Regions from separate parts of the Mus musculus genome. Here regions 2, 3 and 4 are each reported to be linked to region 1. Evidence: microRNA targets listed by miRTarBase, many of them from high-throughput screens and not tested one by one. Region 1 holds a microRNA gene; each other region holds the end of a gene's coding sequence.
Evidence for each region. The annotated mature microRNA mmu-miR-466f-3p reads CAUACACACACACAUACACAC and lies in region 1 at 1,767-1,787, shown strand. An mRNA with a match to its seed (bases 2 to 7 or 8) in the 3' UTR can be bound and repressed. Matches are read on the target gene's strand: a 7mer-m8 pairs with bases 2 to 8, a 7mer-A1 pairs with bases 2 to 7 and ends in A, and an 8mer does both.

Region 1 (3,000 bases):
CATTGATCCATTTGAATGATAAGTGACTTAGAGTTTTAGAGATGCTGCAGTACTGGGCCACCAAGGATATGCATGTGTGTATAGTTGTGTGCATATTCATTTTTCTATATGAATATGCATATACACGCATGCACACACACTCACAGGAATGGCCAGAGCTATGTCTCAGGTAGGAGGTGAATATTCTTGCCAGTGTCAGGAGGCTACAGAGTTCAAATTCATGCTTAACTTCATGAAGAGTTAGAGATCAGCATGAGATTCATGTGATGCCCACCAAGAAAGTGCATGTGTGCATAGTTGTGTGCATATTCACTTCTCTATGTGAATATGCATATGCACGCATGCACACACGAATGGCACTCATATATCCTTTTGAATGATATGTGACTCAGAGCTTTAGAGCTTATGCAGTACCAGGTCAGAGCTATGTCTCAGTTAGGAGGTGAAATCCCTTGCCAGAGTCAGGAGGTCCTGGAGTTCAAATTCATGTTTAACTTCATGATGAGTTAGAGATCAGCATGCGATTCATGTGATGCCCACCAAAAATGTGCATGTGTGTATAGTTGTGTGCATATTCATTTCTCTATATGAATATGCATATACACACATGTACACACATGTACACACCCACACCCACCCACCCACACACACCACTTAGAGTAATGGCATCATATATCCTTTTGAATAATATGTGACTCAGAGCTTTAGAGCTTATGCAGTACTGGGCCAGTGTGTTGTTTCACTCGTTAGCTGAATACTTTTGCCACAGTCAGTATGTTTCAGAGTTCAAATTCATGGTTAAATTCATGATGAGTTAGAGATCAGCCTGGGATTCATGTCATGCCCCCCATGTATGTGCATGTGTTTATACTTGTGTGTGCATGTACATGTGTGCATATCAATATATGTACACATACACATACAGACGCACACACATACATGCAGGAATGTCACTTGTCAATCCATTTGAATGATATGTGACGTAGAGCTTTGGAGATTATGTAGTATTGAGTGAGGGTGAGGCTTCAAATACCAGGCTAAAATCCTTGCCAGAGTCAGGAGGATCAGGAGTTGAAATTCATGCTTAACTTCATCAAGAGTTAGGGATCAGCCTGTATCATGTGATGCAGCTTATGTATATACGTGTGTGTTCATGTGCATGTGTGTATAATATAAATATAAATATACATACACACTAACATAGACATGCACGCGTGGAAAAACACACATGAATGGCACTTATCAATCCATTTGTATGATATGTAAATTAGATCTTTCAATACTATGTAATACTGGGCCAGTGAGACATCTCACTCACTAAGTAAAAACGCTTGCCAGAGTCAGGAGAATAAAGAGTTCAAATTCATAATTAACTTCATGAAGATTTAGAAATCATCCTGGGATTTATGTGATGGCCCCTATGTATGTGCCTGTGTGTGTTCTTGTGTGTGCATGTGCATGTGTGTATATGAATATACATATACATACACACATACACACGCACGTACACACACACAAACACACACATACAGGAATGGCACTTATCAATCCATTTGAATGGTATGTGACTTAGAGTTTTAGAGATTATGCAATAGGGGACAGTGAATGTTCTCACTCACCAGGTGTAAACGATTGACAGAGTCAGGAGGATCAGAAGTTCAAATTCATGCTTACCTTCAGTTAGAGATCATCCTGGTATTCATATGTATGTGCATGTGTGTTTACGTGTGTGTGCATGTGCATGTGTGTATATGAATATACATACACATACACACACACATACACACACATGCAACACACACATATGAATGACACTCACTGATCACTTTTAATGATATGTGACTTATAGTTTTAGAGATTATACAGTACTGGGCCAGTGAATGGTCTCACTCAGAAGGTGAAAATGCTTGCCAGAATCAGGAGAATCAGGAATTCAAATTCATGCTCAACTTCCTGAGAATTTAGAGATTAGTCTGTGATTCATGTGATGCCCCCCATGTATGTGCCTGTGTGTATAGTTGTGTGTGCATGTGCATGTGTGTATATGAATATACATATACATACACACACACGTATAAACGCAAGCACAAACACACACAGAGGAATGGCACTCGTTGATCCATTTGAATGATATGTGACTTAGAGCTTTAGAGATTATGTAGTATTGGGCCACTGAAACTTTTCATTCACCAGGGAAGGCTTGCCAGAGCATCAGTATCCAGAGTTCAAAATCATGCTTAACTTCATAATGAGTTAAAGATCAGCCTGGGATTCATGGGCTGTACCCTATATATGGGCAGGTGTGTGTCTTGTGTGTGCATGTTCATTTGTGTATATGAATATGAATATACACACACTTACACACTCATGCACACACACACACATCCATTTGAATGATATGTGTCTTAGAGCTTGAGAGTTTAGGCAGGACAGTGCCAGGGAGAGATCTCACTCACCAGGTAACAATGTTTGCCATACTCAGGAGGATTAGGAGATGAAATTCATGCTTAATTTCATGATGAGTTAGACATCAGCCTAGAATTCATGGGATGTCCCCCATGAATGTATGTGCATGTGTATATAGTTTTGTGTGCATGTGCATGTGTGTCTATTAATGTACATATACATACACACAAACATATACACGCATGCGCAGATACAGACACAGAAATGGCTTTCATCGATCCATTTGTATAATATGTAAATTTACTGGGCCAGTGAGACATCTCACTCACCAGGCAAAAACATTTCTCACAGTCAGGAGAATCAGGAGTTCAAATTCATAATAACTTCATGATGAGTTAGAGATCAGCCTTGTGTTAATGTGATGACCCCTATGTATGTGCATGTGTGTATATTTATGTGTGCATGAAAATGTATGTATATATGAATATACATATACATACATACCCACACAAACATGCACACACACACAAACACACCCACAATTGCCACTTACCAATCCATGTGAATGATATGCAACCTAGAGGTTAGAGATTG
Region 2 (3,226 bases), not on the chromosome of region 1:
CTCTTAATTCTAAATTTAGAATGCTTATATCACAGGAACTGTTTGGTTACACTTTTGGATAGAATGGGTATGTATCTGCAGAAACAGAGAAATTGCCAGTAAATAGACCCCACTGCTCTTCTATGTTATAAAACACACCTAAAGGCAATATCCAAGAAGGTATTCTTGGTAGATGATTTTTGGAAATATATCTGTGCTAAATCGATCCTGTTTCATAGTCCATCCACAAATGGTTGGCTATTCCAGCTAGCCAATCTGCATGCGTAAGTTAGCATGTGACAGGAAAGCTGGCTTTTACTTATCAACCATGTACCTTTTCAAATCCTAAAAACACTTTTTAAAGTTATTATTATGCTAGACAAGATAAAACTACATCTATTGCGCTGACAACCTTGGTGTCCTCAACCAGGAGGTTGACTGAGAGATTAGAAACTGAGTGCGAAGCGAAGGTCCTTCAAGCTTACATTCCCGTCCTGAGGCCTGACGTGCACTCCGCACACGCCAGTGAAACCTCAGGCTTCGTTCATGTTGGTGTCTGCTGTTAGCAGAGTGCAAACCCTCTGAACTGCAGCAATCTGAAAATATTCTGGGGTGCCAGTGTTGAACTTCTGGGGAGGGGGTGGTGGAGTAAGGGATTATAGCTCGGTAGCAAAGAGAACAAAACTGTCCTGACACAGGGAGACATTTGGGACAAGGAATCTGTGGATCAAGAAGCAAGAGCTAAGGATGACAAGTGCCATTCCGTTGCTCACGACCGTCTGGGATCAATGGGAAGAAATGTGGAGAGACAAATCCCCAGTTTTCCTTGACATTGGTTTGTGCTGATTCAAGAACACACCAGTGGTTTTCTGAGTTAGTTTCTTCCAACAGAAGGAAGGGTTTGAAATATAGCAAGATGTACAAGCAGAGGAGGGACAAAGCCAAACCCTGAAGTATCTATTTCCTTAGCTGCCTGTTTTAGAGAATTCAGAGGAAGAAGCAAAGGGGGCGCTGAAAGGAGGGATTTGTGGGGAGACCTCATTGCCCACGAGTTGTTTGATTATAAACATTTGCTTAATGTATGTTTTTTTTTTTCATTTAGTTGGGACACTGTTTTCAAAGACAATGTGCATGTCTTATACGAGTTCCATTCACGGTTTTTTTTTCAACAGGGAAAAAAATTTAGAGACATTAGAGCTCTTCTATGTCACTTAAAGGTTGAAAAATACCCCTTTGTATGTTGCATGTTCTCTAATTTTTGCCAATTAAAAGTGGGATCTAACCCATTAGAATAAGTTCAATGCAGTGGCATTTCACTTGGAAAAAAAAACTTTTTAAAATAATGGTTAAAAGTTTTTACATCATATTTTATAGCCACTTGCTTCGGGTAGAAACTGCACAGGAAATTAAAGTGAAGTTTGCATACAAATCATGTTGACTGCCTTCAAAAGGAGATGTTGCAGTTAGTAAAACCTGATTTACCTTTGTGATTATGGAATAATGTCTGGGGACGCTACAATTCGGTGAAAGCCCGCCCGCTCTGCCGTCTGGGTGCGGTTAGCAGACAGAATTCCATTTGGCTTCTAGCTGGTTCCTATGTGCTAACCATCTGGTCATAGGTAGTTCAAAACGTAGCCTCGAGGTTGAACTAATAACCTCTAGGCTAGGCTGCTCATGTAAAGTTTAGAGATCTGAGAGGCTACAGACTTGTTCTGCAGCTCAGTATGGCCAGGATGTTGTTTTTCAGGAGCAAGCTGGAAACACGTGGGCCGTGCTCTTAAACCATGGCATCGCTGATGGATCACCTTCCCATACCAGGTTCCATACTTGCCATGCAATTGTGTCAGAGTAGGCTGTAAGATTTAAGGGAGTCTGGAATGGGTGGAGACACTAAAGTCGTTTTTTAAAAAGGATTCTTGTATAATCATTTATATATAAACCATAGAAATCATGTGCTAGCATACATTTAACTTTTTTCCAGCCAAAATAATAGTCACAATAACTAAACGGAGTTAGTTACCCATGCTGTCCAATCAACTGGAAAATTAAACACTTGCAGTGTCAGCCTTCCTTCATCATAGCTCACAAAGAGGTAAATAATAAGATAATAAATTCTATCTTCTCAGACACTTTTAGAATGGCAATTAGTTTTTGCTTCTTCTTTGAACTCTGAAAGGAGCCAAATCTATCAACTGATTGCCAGTACCCCTCACGCTTTGCCTGGATGGTGCTTGTGCCTCTAGCACAAAGCACAGCACACAAGCCCCAGGAGAGGCTCTCCAGGGCAAGCCCTGGGCACTTGCCCTTTGCAGACTGCCTCGGGCTCCTGAAAAGCTTTCATCTTCAGCAATGCTGATTTAAGAACCTTGCTTTTTTTTTTTTTTAAAGCAGTCCTATGAAATAAGGGGGGTGGGGGGAAGAAGCCTAAATAAGCAATTGCGGACTGAATGGTGGCGTTAACATCAGAAGGCAGAGTTTCTGCTGCCCTAAACAGAATGTGCGGAAGGTCGGTATGGTTCCAAGCTCACACTCTTGTATCTGTTAAGAGTCGTCATAAGCTTCTCTGTAGACAGCTTAGAAAGCTCTTCCAAAGCAACTTCTGATATATGTTGGGTAGACAAATGGTACCAAAGTATAGGGCTGCTGTATAAAACTACCTTGGTCAATACAACATATTTAAGCCTCTCTACAGGTTAGCAGGTTTTCGGAGTCAAACCCCAAAGGTCTGACATACCATGAGCAATGAAGATGAGTTGGTGAACACATTAGTAAGACTGGCTACTTGCCTATAGAGGTCCATACATGCGACTACTCATGGTTGAGCTGCAAAGGTTACCGAATGTGCTGCGTTTGCATAAATCATTAGTGGTTAATTGCCATGCCGGACACTTCGTTTAGTCTAACAGTGAGGATTCTAGTGGACGGATTATAGTGGGGCGAGTTGGTGATGGGGGTGGCCTCCGGCTAGAAAAAGAGAAAGAGACAGGTAAGGGAACAGGTGTTGTAGCAGTAGTTGTCTCTTCAGAACACTGACATAGAGCCACCATGCGCATGCACATGCAATTCCGGCCAGGAAGAGTGGCCACACACTGCAGCGACTCTCAGACTCTCCTCTCTGAGTCATCGGGGTAGCCCAGTTCCCAGTGGAAATTGTGTAGTTTTTCGTTATGCAAATCTTTATGAAAACCAAAGAGATTTTATTTCCCCCCAATACGAGTGCAAATGTGGAATGACTTAGAGGCCACTG
Region 3 (3,226 bases), not on the chromosome of region 1:
CATACACACACACAGAGCTAGGGACTGAACCCAGGGCCTTGCGTTGCAAGCACTCTACCCCACATTAAGCCCCCTTTATACCTAATAGAAATGCTGTTTTGAGCGAGGTTTTTTGTTATGGTTTTTTTTTCCTTAGTTTTGAGCGAGGTTTTAGTATGAATTCTGAGCCACACAGCAGACACACCCTTCTGGGGATGCTCAGGATCCTCTCATGCGCCTCAGCTCTTGGCTGGGGTGGGCAGGCAGCAGATACAACCCAGCGATAGAACTTTCTGGGCAGAGGTACAAGGAAGGCTAGACTTCATTCAGCACCGTCAGGTTTTCTTTTCGTGCCCTATTTGAGAGCACTCCCTAGTGCACAATAGACAAGGGCAAAGGGGTCCCGCAAATTAAGGATTAAGGTACACATTCACACCTGCCACGATGGTCTGTTTCTCTTCGATACTGTATCTCAGTTCACCTCTATCCTGTAGGGAGCAGAGGACATCCAGAGTGACTGCCCTATCACGGACCCTTACCTTAGACCCACGAGAATGGCAGAGTCCCCCTGGGTTGAGCATGAGTGTTGATGGTATGTGTAGAACATGTGTACCTTAGCTCCCTGAGCCCCATCCTGATATTTACAGCCTGAGGATTGCTTCCCTACATATGGGGACTGCTCTTGAAGAGATTGGCTAAACCTGTCTCCTTGATCCAGCAGTATACCTCGGATGTTTCCTCCTTTTTTATCTGTATACAACAGCACTGCCTCTTTGTGCTTCTCCATGGAATAAACTCTGAGTTTCTGGGTGCTGGTTTCTCCATCAATGTCCAGTCTACCCAACCCCAGCTTTCCTGTGTGTGTCTGTTTTTCATTCCCTTTCTGCCCTGGTCAGGTCGGACCCTAGAGCTGTGTGGGCGAAGGGTCTTCCCACTGTATTAAGATCAATTGATTTTCATAAACAAAAGGGATGCTGGTCTGATCACAGCTGTTATGTACATGGGCACATTCACAGTACAAGGATGAAAACTCACAGGTTCAGTTTGGAAGTATTAAGGTTACAGTTACAGGTGATCAACTTTAACACAGAAACTGCTAGACAGCAGCTTTACAATGTGTTTGTATACATCCAAGTAACCCAAGGAGACGGCACCAGCAAGACATAACAGTCTGTTACTGTCAATCATTTGAATCTACAGGAGAGAACTGAAGAGGAGAGCTGTCTGTTCCGTTAGGAGGCGGGACATCCCAGTGACAGACACTACTGAACAGTTGGCACATCTTTGCTGCCAGCTGAGCCCCTTTGAAACAATGTTTTAGGCTCTAGGAGTGGTCAACTCTAGACTAGCTTTGTAGTAAGCTCCTTGACTACATCATACTACGGAGAACAATACTACAGGGCAGCAGAAAGCTTGGATCTGAGGAGCTAGGGCTGTACTAAGTACAGCACTTGGCTAGTGGGCACAAGGCCTAGATTTCGGCAGCACCGCAAAAATGGAAAAGTAAAAGTTCAAGGGTACAAATAGTTTATACCTGTTTTTACATTACATAGATTTTACATTACACAATTCACAAAGCCATCATATATATGTGTATATGTGTGTATATATATACACACACACACACATATGTATGTGTGACATATAAATCATACATATATTTGTGCCAGTTGAATGGATGAGTTTACATTTCTCAAATGTTAGAAGGTGAGACACTGTTTCCTCCCATTACAGAGAACACCAGGCAAGTGTCTCCAGATGCAGAGACAAGTCAGGTTTTTGTCAGACTTCTCAAATACTAGTACTTTCTACAAACTTCATTTCAGAAGGCAAAATTAACAGCAAGGTCCAATGGTTCAAATGGCTGAGCTTCTTAAAATACCAAAAAAAATCACGTGCCAGTGTCTACTGGTTTCTAATGTAATAGACTGTAATGACATTTCTTCAGGGTGTACCCTATGTCAAAGTGAAATCTTTACCCCTGGCCTTCATATCACCTGTCCCCTCAAAGGACTGAAAATGAGCACTTAAATCCGTAGCATGGCAAAGAATGCATGAACAGCCACTGGGTCCCTCAGGACCACCTCACCTCTTAGTCACCTAACCACGAAGCAGTCAGGGACTTTCAGATTAAAATGCAATGTCACAGTCCAAGGGGACCTCCTTCAGACAGCACATAATCTACAGCATCACTTCTGTCTATCACAGGCCCTTCCTTGTTTTCCATGACAACACTTTAAAAATGTGGCATTTCTTATATATACAAAGTTCAATGGTAGTCCTTAAAATGGCAAACACAAATGGTTGTCTGCTATAAAGTGTGCACTCTAATCTACAGAAAAACAATGAGCACAAGCAAGAATCTGTTCAAGTCAAGACGACCACTCAATGAATACCCTGGCCTTTGACCACAGAAAGGGAGCTTAATCTTGATTGTTTCTCTGACCACCATTTATGTCACAACAGTTTCAATAAACTACAGCTTATTGAACGCTGCTTTTTATATATAGTCACCTCCATAGAAAAACTTCATCTGCAAATAGAAGGTAGAGGGTTGGTTTTTTTTTTTCCTCACAGCTATAGGCTGTAACACGGATTTCTCCAGGTATCATTGGAGAACAGAAAATATGGCACTCAATTCCAGATTCTAAGAAAACTGTCCCAGGAGCCAGTGGCCACAGCCATGCCGTCATCAGTCACACCTAAGCAGCTAACACGGTTGTCATGACCAGCAAGGACACCTACAAAGAAAGATCAATAGAGAGTTAAAACTGAAGTTTTAGAACTGCAAAAATAGTTCTGCATTATGATGCAGATGGTGATCAAAAAAGCAGTCATTCTGGGAAGACTAGTGCTAGAGCCAAGTCCAGCATATGGACACAACACACCACAAGCTATTGGAATTTTTTACATCATTTGTGAACATCTGTTTGTGTTTTCAAAATTTTAAAAGTCAGTGTTAAAAAAAAAATCGAAGACAGGGTCTCACATAGTCCAGGCTGATCTTGACCTCGCTACCCGGCCAGAAATCATCTTCAAATCCCCATCTTCCTATTTCTGCCTACAAGAGCAGGGGTGGCACCTGGTGTTTAGTAACTTCTCTATCTAGGGAGTCATGTAAAGGCAACTCCACATCTCCAGTAAGTTCGTGACAGTCCACTTTTGAAAAAGTATTTTTATTTGCCTGAGAAATTTATTGTCTCTGATGCTCACTGCCTCGGTCTGCTAACATAGGCCTAGTCCTGGA
Region 4 (3,226 bases), not on the chromosome of region 1:
AAAGCCAGCTCTGGAGTCTGCAACTTATTTATTTTGAAGGCAGGGTCTCTTGTAGTCCAGGCTAGCCTCAAACTTAGTATGTAGCTAAGGATGCCCTTGAACTCCTTATCCTCTTGCCTCTACCTTCTGAGTCCAGGGAGTACAGACACGAAGCTACCATGCCTAGCTCGGCAGATCCCAAAGAATTCACTAGTGACCAAGGCCTGCATGGTGTGTGTCCCTAGGCTCGTGCAGAGCTTAGTATCCACTGGCTGACTGATGTCCTTCTCTTTTCAGGCTATGCCTACTTCCTTCGTGGCCATCTCTACTGGAAGTTTGATCCCGTGAAGGTGAAGGTCCTAGAAGGCTTTCCTCGCCCCGTAGGTCCTGACTTCTTTGACTGTGCTGAGCCTGCCAATACTTTCCGCTGACAACACTTTGGATGCATTCAGGGGTACTGACTCCTGCCAGGGCACTTAGATCATGTAAGAGACCCACAGCCATATCTGTGGCTCTGGGCTTCAGGCATGGGACAGACAGGGCCTATGTCTCCTCAGGGGAGTGGGTTGGGGTGCAGCCACTGTTTGTAGGAACGACCATGCTGGTCATGGTCACCTGCCAACAATTGTCTCAGACTAGGCAAAGGCTTTGGTGTTACTTAAAAATAAGGGAGGTTTTGGGCTGGCAATATTTCAGCTACCAATAATCCACAGTCAGCCTGGTTGCCCAAGGTCTCCATCTCTGTCCCTCAAAGTAGAACCCCCACACAAACTCAGGAATCACCTGCAATGAGGTTCCTGTTGGGAGTGGTGTTGGTAATGAGATGCCCAGGGTACCATGCTGCCCCTGCTAAGCAACTGGACCAGTATCTTTCCTGGTAAGTCAGCTCTGGAGAGATAGTGAACTGATCATATTCTGGCAGGTGATTCAGACAAGTGCTTCCTGGAACTCAGGCCAAAAGGTACACAGCCAGCCAAGGAGGCAGCTGCTTCCTCCCAGAGACACGGAACCTCAAAGGCCCCACATACCTCACAGCCTTGCCCCAGGCCATTTCTTTCTGGGGCCCTCTTCCTAGCACAGGTACCCTCTAAGCCATGTACATGTGTATACAGTGTATAAAGACTTTTTTAAAAAAACAAAAAACAAAACCCAAAAAAGCCAAGACTGTCATTAAACATGAGTGTTTTCTAAGCGCCTGTCTGTTTTTCTTTGCAATTTGCAGTCAAGATTTGGGAGTAAGGGTTAGAGCCTTTGTGCCCCAAGACTGTTTCCCTGGGGCTAGGACCCATATTTAGAGTCTCTCCTGTCCCATTCCTGAACAAATAGAGGTATACCCACAGTGGCTTTCTAACTGACTGGCTGTCTCAGCAAAAGCAGTATCATTTTATCAGATCATGCCTAACTACTGGGGGTGGGAGCTGAGGGAGGCATGGTCTCATTATACATCCCTGACTGTCCTGGGACCCACAGAGGTCTGCCTGCCTATGACTCTGGAGTTCTGGGATTAAAAGTGTGAGCCACCCCTGGCCCTTAACCCTCTGGTTCCCATGGCTGTGAGATCAGTGGGCAAACTCCTGGTTACCACAGCCTTTCCTAGTTCTTTAACATCTCCTTCATCATGACCCCAGTCACAATTGCAGTCTCATTAGACTGACCCTTATGAAGCTGGCCACTGTTTGTCCTGCTGCTTTCAGAGAAGTGTTTGTATTTTGCACATCCCACCATGCCCCCACCTCCCCTACACTAGGTTGTTAGTCCCTTTGCTCCCATACACAATGTCACTTTTACTTTAATGTTCTGTGGAATACATATTTTATGTATCTAAGGAAAATCTAGAAAGCACAAATGAGAGAAAACGTATTTGTCTTTCTGAGACTGGCCTGATTTGTTTAATATGATATCTTAGTTGCATCCATTTTCCTGAAAACAATGTAATTTCACTTTTGTGGCTGAAAAACAAAAAACACATGTACACACATTTCACACTCTTTTTTGTTTTCTGGGACAGAGTTGCTCAACATATCCCTGACTGTCTTGGAACTGAAGCTAAAAGCTTGCACCACCACACCCAGCCTAGACTACATTTTCTTCATCCATTCCTCTATTGTTGAATAGCTACCTAGGCTAGGCTATAACTTAAGCTCCTGTAATAGTGCTACAATAAACATTAAACATTTTGGAGTCACGGCTCTGTTCAACAGGGGGTGGACTGCTTGGACACGTTCCAGAAGCACTGTCTTCTCTCGGGGCTGTTATGCCCCAAGGCGGGCAGAGGCACAGACCAGGGCTGGGCTTGTGGGCACCAAGCTTGCAGAGGTAAGGAAGGAATGCAAGTGCCTCCTCCCGTTCATCTGGCACATCACCTAGATCTTTGAATAGTACCAACCTCCATCCAGTATTGTCATTCTTCCCATCCCTACTGCCTCGGGAACTGCTGTTGGCCTGGAGTGGATAGCTAGCTATTCCTAACGCACTTTCGGGTGGAAAACCTGAGGCGCTAGCGTGGGGTCGCCATGCCCACCCAGCTTCCCTCGGGCTTCCAGATAGAGCGGTCCTTCTCCTCGCTTAACGTCTCATTTTTTTCCTTCATCCCGGGGCGGAGTGCCAGCTCTGGCTATGCGACTAGGAAAGCTACCGCCTGAGTCAGGGCCTCAGTGGCTATTTCGGTCGCTGAGAGGTTTTCCTCCTTACCCGCCCAGGGAGGAAGCCTAGGAAGCAAAAAAGAACTCGGGTCCCTTTAAGGGCTTGCGGGAACGCGCTCGGCCTTGAGTCGCGCAGGCTGCGGCGCGCACGTTAGCGTCAGCTTCTCCACGCATGCGCACCGAGGGCGGCCTGCTCGTTGCAGAGACGGCCAAGGAGCCCAGTAGTGACACGAGCGCTCGCCCGGTTCGCCCGGCTTGCCCTGCCCGACCTTCACCTCCAGGCCTCCGTTCCTTTCGGTCCGACGCGCCTCGGCCCCGCCCTAGCCCACCGGATTCTTTCCAGCTCGACCCCGGCTGCCGGTTTCCCCCGCCGCCATGATGATGATGGCGTTGAGCAAGACCTTCGGGCAGAAGCCCGTCAAGTTTCAGCTGGAGGACGACGGGGAGTTCTACATGATCGGCTCCGAGGTAGCCCGCGGCGCGTTCTCGGCTTCCCGGGCAGCGGCTGGCCGGCTCGAGTCCCGGGGCGGGCTAGTGCTCCCCGAGAGCGCGCCTCCATTCATCGCGGAGGCGGGCGCGTGCTCGCAGCTGGGGCGTGGCCTGGT

Region 2: the mRNA of Dnm3 is a reported target of mmu-miR-466f-3p. The part of its 3' UTR that is shown has no 7-base or 8-base seed match.
Region 3: the mRNA of Gnb4 is a reported target of mmu-miR-466f-3p. Seed matches in the 3' UTR shown: 8mer at 1,590-1,597 and 7mer-m8 at 2-8.
Region 4: miRTarBase lists Mmp11 as a target of mmu-miR-466f-3p. Seed matches in the 3' UTR shown: 8mer at 1,081-1,088 and 7mer-A1 at 1,091-1,097.

The regions. Positions count from the first base shown.
Region 1 is chr2:10,465,232-10,468,231 of GRCm38, forward strand. Mir466f-1 (microRNA 466f-1) reads left to right here and starts at 1,713; the gene lies at 1,713-1,806. All of the region lies in intron 10 of Sfmbt2 (Scm-like with four mbt domains 2), which reads left to right. Mir466m (microRNA 466m) reads left to right here and starts at 1,432; the gene lies at 1,432-1,515. It overlaps Mir669f (microRNA 669f), which reads left to right and starts at 1,998; the gene lies at 1,998-2,118. It also overlaps Mir669e and Mir669b.
Region 2 is chr1:161,989,149-161,992,374 of GRCm38, forward strand. Dnm3 (dynamin 3) reads right to left here. Exons shown (of 21, transcript NM_001038619.2): 21 at 1-2,943. The coding sequence ends at 2,874. Among named protein-coding and RNA genes, the nearest start is that of 4930558K02Rik, 11 kb to the left of the region's middle.
Region 3 is chr3:32,582,507-32,585,732 of GRCm38, forward strand. Gnb4 (guanine nucleotide binding protein (G protein), beta 4) reads right to left here. Exons shown (of 10, transcript NM_013531.5): 10 at 1-2,720. The coding sequence ends at 2,614. Among named protein-coding and RNA genes, the nearest start is that of Gnb4, 32 kb to the right of the region's middle.
Region 4 is chr10:75,921,166-75,924,391 of GRCm38, reverse strand. Mmp11 (matrix metallopeptidase 11) reads left to right here. Exons shown (of 8, transcript NM_008606.3): 8 at 277-1,170. The coding sequence ends at 410. It overlaps Smarcb1 (SWI/SNF related, matrix associated, actin dependent regulator of chromatin, subfamily b, member 1), which reads left to right and starts at 2,778. Exons shown (of 9, transcript NM_011418.2): 1 at 2,778-3,089. The coding sequence starts at 2,997.